Macaca fascicularis: one gene and its partner. The protein of the gene in region 2 purifies or fractionates together with the protein of the main gene of each other region. This does not show direct contact. Links are inferred from orthologs where the notes say so. Each region holds a gene or a part of one and is shown on either strand. Other genes may lie near its edges.

Region 1 (7,862 bases), on a different chromosome or scaffold from region 2:
TTACATCACAACTACTTCACTGTAAGCCCGGGGGCATATTGAATGCACATCACTTTCGCATCATCGTAAAGTCATAAAATCATGAATCAAGCCATGGTAATTCAGGGACCATCTGTGCTCGGCCATCCTCAGGCCAATATTCTCCCTCAGGATGACTGATTCTCTCTTCCTCTTCCTGACTTCTTTCTGTCCACTTACCTCATCCATTGTCTTGTAACATGGTGGGTTGGAGTTAGGATCAAACTCCATCTCTGAAGGGATGGACTGAAAGGAAAGTGAGATTAGGGTAGCACTTTAAAAGGATGCTTCAGTAGATGGTAATGAATGGGTATCTCTCTTCCTCAGCCCCACCCAGTGTGCCTAGACTTACATGTCGAGAGATGAAGCAAGACATGGGTCCAATTTCTGTGAAGAGTCCAACCTAGAAAAAAATGAGTGATCTTATGGTCATGCACGGTGGCTTATGCCTATAATCCCAGCACTTTGGGGGGCCGAGGCGGGTGGATCATGAGGTCACAAGTTCAAGACCAGCCTGACCAACATGGTGAAACCTTGTCTCTGCTAAAAATACAAAAATTAGCTGGGTGTGGTAGCGCACCTGTAATCCCAGCTACTCAAGAGACTGAGGCAGGAGAATCGTTTGAACCCGGGAGGCGGAGGTTGCAGTGAGCCAGATCTCGCCATTGTACTCCAGCCTGGCAACAGAGCAAGACTCCGTCTCAAAAAAAAAAAAAGAGTGATCTTGCTTTTCTTTGTCCCCTCAAGTGTTGTGTTTTTGTTTTTTGCTTTCTAAATTTTGAGACAGGTTCTCACTGTTGCCCAGGTTGGAAAGCAGTGGTGTAATCACAGCTCACTGTACCTTTGAATTCCTGGGCTCAAGCAATCCTCCCACCTCAGCCTTCCAAGTAGCTGAGACCACAGGTGCACACCACCATGCTAGGCTAATTTTTTAAAACTTTTTGTAGAGACAGAGTCTTGCTATGTTGCCCAGGCTGGTCTCAAACTCCTAGGCTCAAGCAATCTTCCCACTTCTGCCTCCCAAAGCACTGGGATTATAGGTGTAAGCCAGCACACCCAGCCCTCTTCTCTTTTTTTTTAAGCTTTCATTTGTATTTATTTATGTATTTATTTTGAGACAGAATCTCGCTCTGTTGTTCACTCTGGAGTGCAGTGGTGCAATTTCAACTCACTGCAACCTCCACCTCCCACGTTCAAGTGATTCTCATGCCTCAGCCTCCCGAGTAGCTGGGACTACATGCACATGCCACGATGCCTGGCTAATTTTTGTATTTTTAGTAGAGATAGGGTTTCATCATATTGGCCAGGCTGGTCTTGAACTCCCAACCTCAGGTGATCTGCCCACCTCAGCCTCCCAAAGTGCTGGGATTACAGATGTGAGCCACCATGCCCAGCCTAACCTTTCATTTTAAAGTATTAAAGAGCTTAGGCCTGTTAGTCCAAGATTTGAACACCTGTTGGCCACATGATCTTGGCCAATACACTTAACTTCTTCTAAGCTTCAGCTTCTGTAAAAAGCACCCACTGGCCGGGGGCAGTGGCTCACGCCTACAATCCCAGCACTTTCGGTGGCTGAGGCAGGCAGATCACCTGAGGTCAGGAGTTTGAGACCAGCCTGACCAACATGGAGAAACCTCATCTCTACTAAAAATACAAAAATTAGCTGAGCGTGGTGGCGCATGCCTATAGTCCCAGCTACCTGGGAGGCTGAGGCAGGAGAATCACTTGAACCCAGAGGCGGAGGTTGTAGTGAGCCAAGATTGTGCCACTGCACTCCAGTCTGGCGACAGAGCTAAACTCCATCTTAAAAAAAAAAAAAAAAGGAAAGCACCCACCTTTTAGTCATTGTGAGTCTCTGCACTTCACCTGGCCCACAGTCACTACTCAATCAACACAGGCTTTTATTGTTATGACTATTAATGTTGACTCTTGCCCTCTGAGTTGGGCAGGGAAGATTACCATACAATTTGAAAGTGCAGCACAAGAAGTAAAGTGATGGCTAGGCGTGGTAGCTCACACCTGTAATCCTAGCGCTTTGGGAGGCCGAGGAAGGCAGATTGAGCTCAGGAGTTCGAGATCAGCCTGGGCAACATGGCAAAACCCTATCTCTACTAAAAAAATACAAAAACTTAGCCGGCAATGGTGGCACCTGCCTTTAGTCCCAACTACTTGGGAGGCCGAGGCAAGAGACTCACTGGAACCCAGAAGGCAGAGGTTTCAGTGAGCCAAGATGGCACCACTGCACTCCAGCCTGGGCGACAGAGCAACACTCCGTCTCAAAAAAAAAAAAAGAAGTAAAGTGACTTAGCTGAAGGCACAGTTATGAAGTGGAGCCAGGACCCAACCCAGATCTACTGAGAGACTACCCCAATGCCTCCCCTACGTATGGTCTCACCTTGTTGACCTGAGTTACAACAGCATCCACGACCTCCCCTTTAAAGGGCCGGAAAACAATGGCCTTGTACTTAACTGGATAAAGGACAAAGCCTCGGCCTGGCTGGATCACACCAGCACCAATATTGTCAATGGTGGTGACAGCAATTACAAAGCCATACCTGCAAGGAGGATGAGAAACAGAAAGACATTGTGTGTCCAAGAGCCTCTAGAGACATCTGCAATAAAAGTCACTGAGCTCTTGGGAGTAGTGTCGGGGAGAGCAAAAGGACAAGTAGATAGCACCTCTGCTCCCAGAGAGCTTAATGACCAAGAGAAGACAGAACACAGATCAGTATGGGCTGGGCGCGGTGGCTCAAGCCTGTAATCCCAGCACTTTGGGAGGCCGAGACGGGCGGATCACGACGTCAGGAGATCGAGACCATCCTGGCTAACCCGGTGAAACCCCGTCTCTACTAAAAAATACAAAAAACTAGCCAGGCGAGGTGGCAGGCGCCTGTAGTCCCAGCTACTCGGGAAGCTGAGGCAGGAGAATGGCCTGAACCCGGGAGGCGGAGCTTGCGGTGAGCTGAGATCAGGCCACTGCACTCCAGCCTGGGCCACAGAGCGAGACTCCGTCTCAAAAAAAAAAAAAAAAAAAAAAGAACACAGATCAGTATGTATAAGACCAAATGCTGTTCTGGTAATTTCACAGTAAATGTACAAGAAGGCTGGAGTCCTTGAGGAAACAGATCTCAATCTTCGGGATGCCTGAGAATCATCTTCTTAAAATGCAGATTCTCAGGTCTGCCTCACAGAGTCTTGATTCTGTAGGGAATAAGGAGGCTCAGGAATCTGCATGTTCCTGCAGGTTTTTCTGATGCTGGAGGCCCAAGTACTCCACTGCCCTGGGCTGGGTCCCAGCTCATTAATATCACAGAAGGCCCTCAGTGCAAAGCCCAGAGATGGTCAAGTCCCAGTCTACTTCCTTCCTCCCCCAAACTTTCGATCCACTTTTTCTGGTCATCCATTCAGAAGATATATAGAGGCCCACGGTGTGTGGTCCCTGGACACAGGGGATAAGAGAAAACCAGCAGAATGACAGAGTGAGAGGAGACACAGGAACAATGACTACACTGTGAGCTCCACAAGAGCTGGCCTCATTCTATCTTGTTCCCATTCTACCTTGTTCTGAGCCCAACACGGGTCCTGGCACACACCAAGTGTTTTTAAAATGTCTGAGGAGTAAATGAATGAATGACCAATCTCAGCTGAGGGAAGGAAGTCTTATTGTCCAGCATTGCAGAGGGCGCCCTGGGAACCCAAAGCAGGAAGCAACTGGCTGCCTGAGAGGGTGAGCGGGGTCCCTAGAGTGGGTGGCAGGACTAAATAGGAGTTGCGGAGGGTTTGCAGGTATAGCGACCCGTGTGCGCATCGAACGATCTGGCGGCACGGTGAGCTCGGCACTCACTTCCCTGTGCAGGTCCCCTCCACTTCGGTGAAGAGCTTCTGCTTCACCGTGTTGAGCAAGTTGGGGCCGAAGTAGCGCGGGTGCAGCAGGATTTCGTGCTCTAGGGAGATCTGCGGAGAAAAGAGGGATGGCGACCAGGCCACGCGCTGGGAGCTTATCAGACGACAAGGGGAGCCTCGCGCCGGCGCCTGGCCTTGCTCCTCCTTTCCACCCAGCCCTTGCCGCCACCCTGGGCCCTGCTCACATGGTAGAACATCTTCCCAGAGCATGAAGGCAGGAACAGTCCACACCTCCGACCGCCCCTGGGAATCTACCGGAAACACACTTAGCCGCCGCAACCCCAGTTCCGCGCCTGCTGCGTCGTTGAGAGCGGAACTCCACCTCCTCAGCGAGGGCGGAACTCCACCTGCTCCACGGGTCTGATTGGGCCTTGTAGCCGTGGGCGTGAACCACTAAGCCCCGCCCCTCACCACCGCCCCGCCCCCCCACCGGCCATCAAACCACAACTCTCTTTTTTTTGTTTTGAGACGGATCTGGCTCCGTCTCCCAGGCTGGAGTGCAGTGGCGCGATCTCGGCTCACTGCAAGCTCCGCCTCCCGGGTTCGGGCCATTCTCCTGCCTCAGCCTCCCCAGTAGTTGGGACTACAGGCGCCCACCACCGCGCCCGGCTAATTTTTTGTATTTTTAGTAGTGACGGGGTTTCACCGGGTTAGCCAGGCTGGTCTTGATATCCTGACCTTGTGATCCGCCCTCCTCAGCCTCCCAAAGTGCTGGAATTACAGGCGTGAGTCACAGCGCCCGGCCAATTTTGTGTTTTTAGTAGAGATGGGGTTTCTCCATGTTGGTCAGGCTAGTCTCAAACTCCCAACCTTAGGTGATCCACCCACCTCGGCCTCCAAAAGTGCTGGAATTACAGGCGTGAGCCACTGTGCCCGGCCAGCAACTCTCTGAATTGCTTGAACCTGGGAGGCCACTGCACTCCAGCCTGGGCAACAAAAGCGAAACTCCATCACAAAAAATAATAATAAATAATAGCTACCACTTACTGCTTTCTTCCTAAATGCCAGACACTGTGTTAAGCCCTTTATATAATTATCTCCCTTAATTCTCATAATAATCTACAGAAATTGGTGTAGAAATAACAAAAAATTTACATGAGCCTTAGTCGAAAGGCCAGGAAACTACAGAAAATAATGAAATTTAGGCTGAGCGCAGTGGTTTACGCCTGTAATCCCAGCACTTTGGAAGGCGGAGGCGGGCAGATCATGGGGTCAGGAGATTGAGACCATCCTTGCTAACACGGCGAAACCTCGACTCTACTAAAAATACAAAAAATTAGCCGGGCGTGGTGGCATGTGCCTGTAGTCCCAGCTACTCAGGAGGCTGAGGCAGGAAAATCGCTTGAACCCGGGGGGCGGAGGCTGCGGTGAGCTGAGATCGCGCCACTGCACTCCAGCCTGGCAACAGAGCAACACTAAGAAAGAACGAAAGAAAGAGAGAGAGAGAAAGAAAAAATTTAAAAGCTATTGCAATCCCAAAAAATATTTTAAGCCTCGAGAGAGATATGACTGTGAGTCACATATAGTTTACAACTTCTGTTCTCAGATTATAGATTAATTCACTTTCTTTTTTTTGAGAGGGAGTCTCGCTGTGTCACCCAGGCTGGAGTGCAGGAAATCCATGACTATTTCATCCTCTGTTAAAAAAATGTTACATACCCCCGGCACCATGGCTCACGACTGTAATCCCGGCTACTTGGGAGACTGGGGCAGGAGAATTGCTTGAACCCGGGAGGCAGAGGTTGCAGTGAGCCGAGATCGTGCCACTGCACTCCAGTCTGGGAGACAGAGCAAGATTCCCTCTCAAAAAAAAAAAAAGTTACATGTGAATCACAAGGTCAGAAGTTCAAGACCAGCCTGGCCAACATAGTGAAACCCCATCTCTACTAAAAATACAAAAAATTGGGGCCGGGCGCGGTGGCTCAAGCCTGTAATCCCAGCACTTTGGGAGGCCGAAACGGGTGGATCACAAGGTCAGGAGATCGAGACCATCCTGGCTAAGACGTTGAAACCCCGTCTCTACTAAAAAATACAAAAAAATAGCCAGGCAAGGTGGCGGGCGCCTGTAGTCCCAGCTACTCGGGAGGCTGAGGCAGGAGAACCGCGTGAACCCGGGAGGCGGAGCTTGCAGTGATCTGAGATCTGGCCACTGCACTCCAGCCTGGGCCACAGAGAGAGACTTCGTCTCAAAAAAAAAGAAAAAAAAAATACAAAAAATTAGCCGGGCGTGGTGGCAGGTGCCTGTAATCCCAGCTACTTGGGAGACTGAGGCAGAAGAATCCCTTGAACCTGGGAGGAGGAGGTTGCAGTGAGCCAAGATCGTGCCACTGCACTCCAGCTCAGGCAACAGTGCCAGACTCCAAATCAAAAAACATTGAAAAAAAAAAAGTTACATGTACTTTTCCCAAAAAGAAACATTGTCTATAGCCAACCAAATTACTATAACTATGTACCAATCTTCTATGAAAAATGTAATCCTGCTAAAAAGTCCTGTGTGCTTGCCTATATGTGGGGAAAGAGATCAGACTGTTACTGTGTCTATATAGAAAGAAGTAGACATAAGAGACTCTATTTTGTTCTGTACTAAGAGAAATTCTTCTGCCTCAACTTGCTGTTAATCTGCAACCCTAGCCCCAAGCCATGTGTACAGCACATGTGCAGAGACAGGTGCTGGGTTGACTCAAGGTTTAAGGGATTTAGGGCTATGCAGGATGTGCTTTGTTAAAAAAGTGCTTGAAGGCAGTATGCTTGTTAAAAGTCATCACCATTCTCTAATCTCAAGTACCCAGGGACACAATACACTGCGGAAGGCCACAGGGACCTCTGCCTAGGAAAGCCAGGTATTGTCCAAGTTTTCTTCCCATGTGATAGCCTGAGATATGGCCTCCTGGGAAGGGAAAGGCCTGATGGTCTCTCAGCCCAACACCTGGAAAGGGTCCGTGCCGAGGAGGATTAGTGAAAGAGGGAGGCCTCTTTGTAGTTAAGAGGAAGGCATCTGTCTCCTGCATGTCCATGAGAATAGAATGTCTCCGTGTAAAACCCCATTGTATGTTCTATTTACTGAGATAGGAGAAAACAGCCTTAGGGCTGGAGGTGAGACATGCTGGCGGCAATACTGCTTTTTATTGCACCGAGATGTTTGTGTGTGTGCACATCACGGCACAGCACCTTTACTTAAACTTATTTATGACACAGAGACCTTTGTTCACATGTTTTCCTGCTGACCCTCTCCTGACTATTACCCTATTGTTCTGCCACATCCCCCTCTCCGAGATGGTAGAGATAATGATCCATAAATACTGAAGGGACTCAGAGACCAGTGCCAGTGCGGTTCCTCTGTATGCTGAGTGCCGCTGGACCCACTTTTCTTTCTCTCTACTTTGTCTCTCTTCTATATTTTCTCAAGTCTCTGGTTCCACCTGACACCCACAGGTGTGGAGGGGCTGGCCACCCCTTCGCCTATATAAATGAAATATTAACTTTCTTACTTCACAACACTGACTCCATTCCTCTGGAGCTGGACCTTGTAAATGAGACCGAAAGAGATTAAGGGGAGGTATTTGGGTATGAATAGCAGACCTGCTCCAAAGCTTGTGTTCCTTTTTTTTTTTCTTTTTTCTTTCTTTCTTTCTTTTCTTTTTTTTTTTTTTTTTTTTTTTTGAGTCAGAGTCTCACTGTCGCCCAGGCTGGAGTGCAGTGGCGTGATCTCAGCTTGCTGCAACCTCTGCCTCCCAGGTTCAAGTGATTCTCCTGCCTCAGCCTCCCAAGTAGCTGGGATTACAGGTGCCCACCACCATGGCCAGCTAATTTTTTTTTTCTTTTTTTTTTTTTTTTTAGTAGAGACGGGGTTTCACCATGTTGGCCAGGCTGGTCTCAAACTTCTGACCTTAGGTAATCCACCCACCTCAGCCTCCCAAAATGCTGGGATTACAGGCCTGAGC
Region 2 (7,079 bases):
ATAATCTTCAAATTGCATAGTTTTCATGACACCTAGTGAGGGTAAAAATCTTAGTAATTAGAACAATCATATCATTCAGTTTATCATTACCTAAACATTCAGCTTCAAATATAAACATCCTAGATAAAATGAAGTGAAAGTCTTTATGTGCTTGTTTTATCAGCCAACTGAAGAGTAAAATACCACAATAATTGATGTCTGTGAAACTTAATTTTAAGTACAAAACAATCAGTAACAACTTTCAATTATTTAGGAAAATAAGATTGATAGTTGATACAAATATTGAATACACTAGATTACTTTCTCAAGAATGTATCTTGGGAATAGGTTAATAAAAATTTAAACAATCTAAAACAGAGTAATAGACATTAGATTTTACAATAACTCAAACTTTGCAGAAATGTATTACCTACTAGTAGTCACAACATTAAAGAAAATAACCTTGAAGACCTGTATTTAAATTTCTGTTGGGGAATTGATGATGAATGAAAATCAATGTCCCCTCAAACTATCATGAGTTGGAAAAATTCCTAAATTATATAAACAACAGATATATAATAATCCAAATATAATATCTAATCATGATATAACAAAGTGTTAAGATAAAACTTAGAGAAAACTGAGATATCCCAAGCACATTTTGTTTAGTCAAAGTTCACTATAGAAGACTCTAGAATAATGTTTTAAGACATCTATAGTTTTGAATCTATGAAGGTTTGATAGTTTAATGTAAATTATTACAAATTATCCTTTTCAGCAGCTGAAGACAAGTCTTTGAAGACAAATAATTTTTGAGGTTTGCCTTAAACTTTGAATTCTAGATACAAAACTCTTTCTAGTAAAATCCTTACCGAAAAACCTTTTCCTGAATTACTTTTGGCACACAAAAAGGTTAGTGATGTTTTTAAATGTGCCAGTTTAAAATGATTGTCTATTAGGTGTTACTGATGTACAGTATGTTACTGCAAGAGAAATCTAACAGCTGACAGTGCCAAGAAATTGTTCCTGTACTGTAATTTTACACTTCTAAAATCTGACTGCTATTGTTGACAATAATAAACTACAATAATAAATACATATGATAAATGTCTTGGATAAATTAATTCTTCTACCCTAGAAGTTTATTCTGTGTCAGTGCAACATTAGCCACAGGCAAATGTTAATTTTAACATTTGGTCACTGGCATTTGGCTGAAATGTGCATTTGGTACAATTCTAGTAATAAGGCATTTAGAGGCTTATTGCTATGCTTCTTGGTAGAGAGAACCTAGTCTTAGCCTGATTGAATACTTTTATCTTGATAGTTTTAGGAAAAATCACAACAGTTTCACTCACAATTGATATCAATTCTCTATCCTCCCTTCCTTTAAAGTTCTTAGCACTTTAGTCTGTTCTGTGTAATTCAATATTAAATTACCCACTGTCTTGTACTGTTCACTGTACTCACATGATCTCCACACAGGAGAGTTCTTCCTTTAGGGCGGCATTATGTTTCTTTTACATTACCCATAGTGCCTGGCACAGTGTGGGTCATCCAATATATATTTACTATTTCACTTAAACCCATAGTATTACTGGCTTTGTGTCAGACATATAATTTTGCTTCTCAATTTTAGGCTATTCCATAAATAAACTATCCAAAGTGAACTATATAATGGCTTGAGCAAATAAAGGTTGCATTAAAAAGAAGAGAAAAATAACGTTGTTTAGTGGAGGAGAAAAATAGAATACCGTATTTAGATCTGTGGTATTGAAAGGTAAGTCACTTACTTTCTCTGTGCCTTTGGATTCTGCAAGGCAATAAATAAAGTCAAAATAATTGAGAAGGATAATTGTAATATAAATACTAACCTGAAAGTTCGAACAAGATTTTTAAGTTGTGTGTAAATATCTCCCAATGTAATCTGAAGAGGACAGAGAAGCCCAGGCAATCTGAAAATTAAAAAATTACATTTATTTTAAAACAACCTTAATTATATGGAAACTTTTTTTGGGTCATGCCTAGATCTGAATTTTCCATAGGTAATAATGGCATTTAGGTAGAAGCAGTCATGATTTAAAGGTTAACTTAGGTTATGACTGGTGAGAACTCATAAGGAAACATTACCCCACACTCCACTTTGTAGTCTGTTACTGAGTGTGAAGCACTGAAATGCAAAATCATTTTGGCAGCTATTTACATTCTTGTCCCTAGTTTTACTTACCTGTTTATTTTCAAATATTAGACCAAGATGGAAAGAACACAACTGCCCCCAAAATGGTCCAATCTGAGAGTGCGGTATATTTTTCCTTACTAAATCCTCATGGTGGGAGTAAAAATTAGTACCCTTTTATGAAGCAATCTGACAATATATATTAACAGTTTAAATGTGTTTGACCCAACAGTTTTACTATGAAAAAAATTTAATCTAAGGAAATAATCAGATAAACATAAAAAATATGCTTGTTGCGGAAATAGTTTTAGTAGTGAAAAATTGGAAACAAATGTGTATCAATAGGTGATTGGTTAGATAAATTATGATACACCAATTTCATAGAATAAGACATTTAAAATAATGTGAATCTATTTTTTAATATAAAAAGATATTCATGATAGATGTGAAGTGAAAAATGTACATAGTATCATCCTATTTTTATAAAAACATATTATATAATACCATTGTACTTCATATATATTACATATCAAGCATATTTCATCCCTTCTAGGTTTATCCATAGAGAGAACCAAATAGAATGAATATACATATGCCATATACATGTCGGGGATACACATCAAAATATTAATAGTAGTTAGTGTTGAGTGGTGGGATTACGGGTAATTTTTACTTCCTTCTTTAAACCATTCTGTATTGCCTCATTTGCTAAAGTATGTGTTACTTTATTTTTTTTAAAGCTTCTTTTTAAGACCAGTGTGATAATACAAAAAGCTTCTTACTATGGAAGTTTCACACATATTCCAAAATAGAAAGAACAGTAATAATCCCATATATCTATTTCCAGATTCAATTTCTTAATTTTTGTTACATTTGCTTCATTTCTCATTCCCTTCAGCACCCAGGCTGGAGTGCAGTGGCATAATCCAAACGTCAGGCAATAACAAACGCTGGTGAGAAATGTGGAGACAAGGGAACCCTCATACAGTGTTGGTGGCAATGGAAATTAGTACACCCACTATGGAGAACAGTTTAATCACGAGCATAATCATAGCTCGCTGCAGACTCAAACTCTTGGGCTCAAGCAATCCTCCACTTCAGCCTCCTGAGTAGTAACCCCACAACACCCGATTAATTTTTATTTTTATTTATTTTATTTTTTTGAGATGAAGTCTCACTCTGTCCCCCAGGCTGGAATGCAGTGATGGGATCTTGGCTCACTGCAAGCTCCGCCTCCCAGGTTCGGGCCATTCTCCTGCCTCAGCCTCCTGAGTAGCTGGGACTACAGGCGCCTGCCACCACGCCCGGCTAATTTTTTTTTTGTATTTTTAGTAGAGACAGGGTTTCACTGTGTTAGACAGGATGATCTCGATCTCTTGACCTCGTGATCTGCCTGCCTCAGTCTCCCAAAGTGCTGGGATTACAGGCGTGAGCCACCGCACCCGGCCTAATTTTTATTTTTATTTTTGTAGAGATGGGGTCTTACTATGTTGCCCAGGCTGGTCTTGAACTCCTGGCTTCAGGTGATCCCCCTGCCTCAGCCTCCCAAAGTTCTGGTATTACAGGCATGAGCCACCACACCTGGCCATTTTTTTCTTATTTTGTAGTAATATTTTAAAGTAAATACCTGTCGTCATGTCATTTGACCTGTTTCCATTTTTATCTCTAAATACAAAGGCACTTTCTTATATAATCACAATAAAATGATCATAACCATCCAAATTAACAATTCCTGAGTGTCATCTAATATCCAACATATTTAATTTCCTCTGATACTCTGAAATAAACACTTTTTACAGTTGGTTGGTTCAAATAAAAAACCAAAAAAGGTCTAACTTTGATAATGAGAAGAAAACTCTTTCATAAACAAACAACAAAAAATTCCTATAACATAATTAGTTTTGTCTTCACTCTTCTTTATGCCTTGGTTAATGTGAAATGTTTTCCGTATTTTCAAACTGCTACAAAATAAAACTTCATATTCACAACCCTTAAATAATGACTGACACACTTTTCCATGTTTTCTGCTAAAATAAGAAAATGCAGATTGAAAAGTTCAACACAGCCCTCACACCTCAGGAAAAAAAATCTTCAAGTTCTTTTTGAAAGAAAAACCAAGATAGCAATTTTTAAATGTCATTTATGACTGGGCTAATTACAAGAACAATACTTTCCACCACGGGAAGTTTAAAGCTAAAAGTGCAACGTTGAGCTGAACAAAAACTCAAGTTGCTGAATGTGAAATGGTTCTAAGGATATGCATGCAGAGTGAGTTAACAGACCCTTAAAACTTTATAATAACATCTTATTCACATCTGAAACTGCTGTGACACATTTACCACAAATCAGTATTTAAATGGGTCTAGCTGTGAGATTTTTTTTCCCTGACTTCACTGATTAGGTGGGAGTAACGTAGTTTGGTCTTCTAAATCCACAATCTCAACCTTCCTCTTTATGATGTGCCTCTGTGTCCTCTACACAAAAATTTGTATTTCTTGGAAAAAATATCTTAAAAATCCAAATTTCTCAACTGAAGAAATCCATGGAAACTTTTCACATTATTTTTCAAAATGTTCAAAATTTGAGGATAATACTTACACATTATGAGCTCATAAATGTCAAGCTAATTTAAAACTACTACAAAGCTGGAATGGCAATTATATACTTACACTTTACTCAACTTTTCAAGTACGATGCGTTTTCTAATCTGGTTCTGGGAACTTGAGTCTATCAGTGGAAAGGTGGAATCATGCTGAATCACATTTTTAAACAAAGCAAAACAGAATCATAAGTTTACATTCTTTCTTTGATAAGTAGAATAATAAACATTAAAACACAAAAGTTTATATCTGTGGCATAGTAGGAAAATAACTAGACTTGAGAATTAGATTTAAATTTGAGTATCAACTCAGTTGTTAGGCTGTTGTGAACTTGCTTGAGTCATTTGCCCTCTTTGGATAGTTAGTTTTCTCATCTTTGTAAGTGAGATATTAATACCTCCTTTATTAAATGATAAAATGTATACAAAAAGATTTTGTAAACTGCTAAGTGCTGTACAAATGTAGTGGATTAAAATATTAAAATTAGCAAATACTATAAATATATTATGAGGAGTTCTGTCATTATGTCATTTGACCCCTAATCATTCTAGAAATGGCACACAAGATAATTCAAACCAACTCTCTCTCTGAGAACTGAAAAAAGTTGGAGGAAAAAAATCCACATTTGTTTGAAACACATTTGTTAGCATCAGAGAGCTAACGAGGCTATAAAGAATTACAGTCTGAGATCCTGGAGAAGGTAATTACAGATAGAGCACTAATTTTCCATTTAGATATTGAGAAACGGAGCAGTTTTTCTAATAAAAACAGTTTAGGGTATCCTTCAAGAAGGGAGGGGTATGGGCAACCCTCCCCAAATATAAGACCAGGACTTGGAAAGACCGTACTCTAGGAATAAGAAAAAGAATAGGAAATAGACTAGTTCTTTCAGGAGGTGAATCCCACCTTGAAATCATCTTAATCTCTGATTACATTACAGTGATATGGAACAGCTACAAATCATGTCAGAAGCAAATATAAATCTATTCTAGAGGAAGATAACATCATCCTGAGTCTCCAGTTATCTCTCTAAATTTTAATATACAATGTTTGGCATGTAATAAGACAATATGATAACAATCTGAAACAGCCTACAGAGATCAATCCTGAGGGAATCTAAATAATGAAGTTATCAGCATTATTTAAATAAATGTTTAATGTATTCAAAGAAAAATGACAAGGTTGAAAATTTTTGACAGAGAACTGGAAACTACATAAAGTAACAAAATGAAGACCCTAGAACACAAAAATACAGTATTTAAAAGTAAGAACTAATGGGTAGACATAAGAGCATCGTAGAAATGACTGAAGAGAGAATGCTGAATAGGAAAATATCCAGAATGAAGCACAGTCACCACTCCCCAAACACATAATGTAAAGCACAAAGGAGATTAAGAGACCTACAAGATACAGTAAAAAAAAAAAAAAGACTAAAGAGGCAGAATGGAATAGAAGCAATATCTAGGAGATAACTGGGAACATTCCAAAACTTACAAAAAAAGTCTTAAAAGAAGCTAGAGGAAGAAGACACAATACTTTCAAAGGAGTAGCAATAAGAGATACAAATGGAAGCCAAAAGACAAGGGAATGATATTTTCAATGGGCTGAAAGAAAATAACTGCTCATCTAAAATTCAATACAGAAAAATATCTTTCAAAAGTAAAAGTAAAATAAAGAATTTTCTGACAAAGAAAAACTGAGAAAATTCATTATCAACTGATACTAAGAGAAGTATATTCTTCAGGCACAAGGCAAATAATCCCAGATGGAAGAATGGGGATAGAAGGAGGAATGAAAAACAATGAAAGAGTAATTAATTGGATAAATCCAGCTGAGTGTTGGCTATAAATAATCTTGCAATATATTTGAAATTTAGAGAAAATAAAAATATCCAATAATAGAACATAAGTCGAGAGGGATCAAGAGGGATACATGGAGTTAAATCATTCTAAGGTGCTAATTGTCCAGGAAGCAATGAAAATATTAACTTACATTAGACTTTAATAAGACAAAGATTCAGGTTTTAACACTTAGGGTAACCATTTAATGATCAATAAAACAGTATATAAAAACAATTTAACAGAGGCTAAAAAATGGAATAATGATTCAATGCAAAAGAAAGCAAGAGAGAAAAGGAAGACAGAATAAGTGGGACACACAGAAAGAGGAGTGAGATGGTAGATTTAAACACAAATACTGTATACCAATTGTGACATGAAATGCAGATAAATTCTCCACATAAAGGACAAAGATGATCAATCTAGACAGATTGTCCTTGACCACATTTATACAAGAATGTTAATGTCAGCAAAGTAGACTGTAAAGAA

The links.
Region 1: the proteins of RPAP2 (region 2) and POLR2G purify together in Homo sapiens (affinity purification with mass spectrometry; 5 studies listed by BioGRID and IntAct, counting the BioPlex papers as one, with this or other methods). This does not show direct contact. The link is inferred for Macaca fascicularis from reciprocal best matches to the Homo sapiens genes RPAP2 and POLR2G.

The regions. Positions count from the first base shown.
Region 1 is NC_088388.1:11,290,419-11,298,280, forward strand, and holds the start of POLR2G (DNA-directed RNA polymerase II subunit RPB7), read right to left. Parts: upstream 4,217-7,862; 5' UTR 4,132-4,216; coding exon 3,863-4,131; intron 2,574-3,862; coding exon 2,414-2,573; intron 422-2,413; coding exon 371-421; intron 265-370; coding exon 199-264; intron 1-198. UniProt on the Homo sapiens protein: Core component of RNA polymerase II (Pol II), a DNA-dependent RNA polymerase which synthesizes mRNA precursors and many functional non-coding RNAs using the four ribonucleoside triphosphates as substrates.
Region 2 is NC_088375.1:142,099,204-142,106,282, forward strand, and holds part of RPAP2 (putative RNA polymerase II subunit B1 CTD phosphatase RPAP2), read right to left. Parts: intron 4,905-7,079; coding exon 4,822-4,904; intron 1,932-4,821; coding exon 1,851-1,931; intron 1-1,850.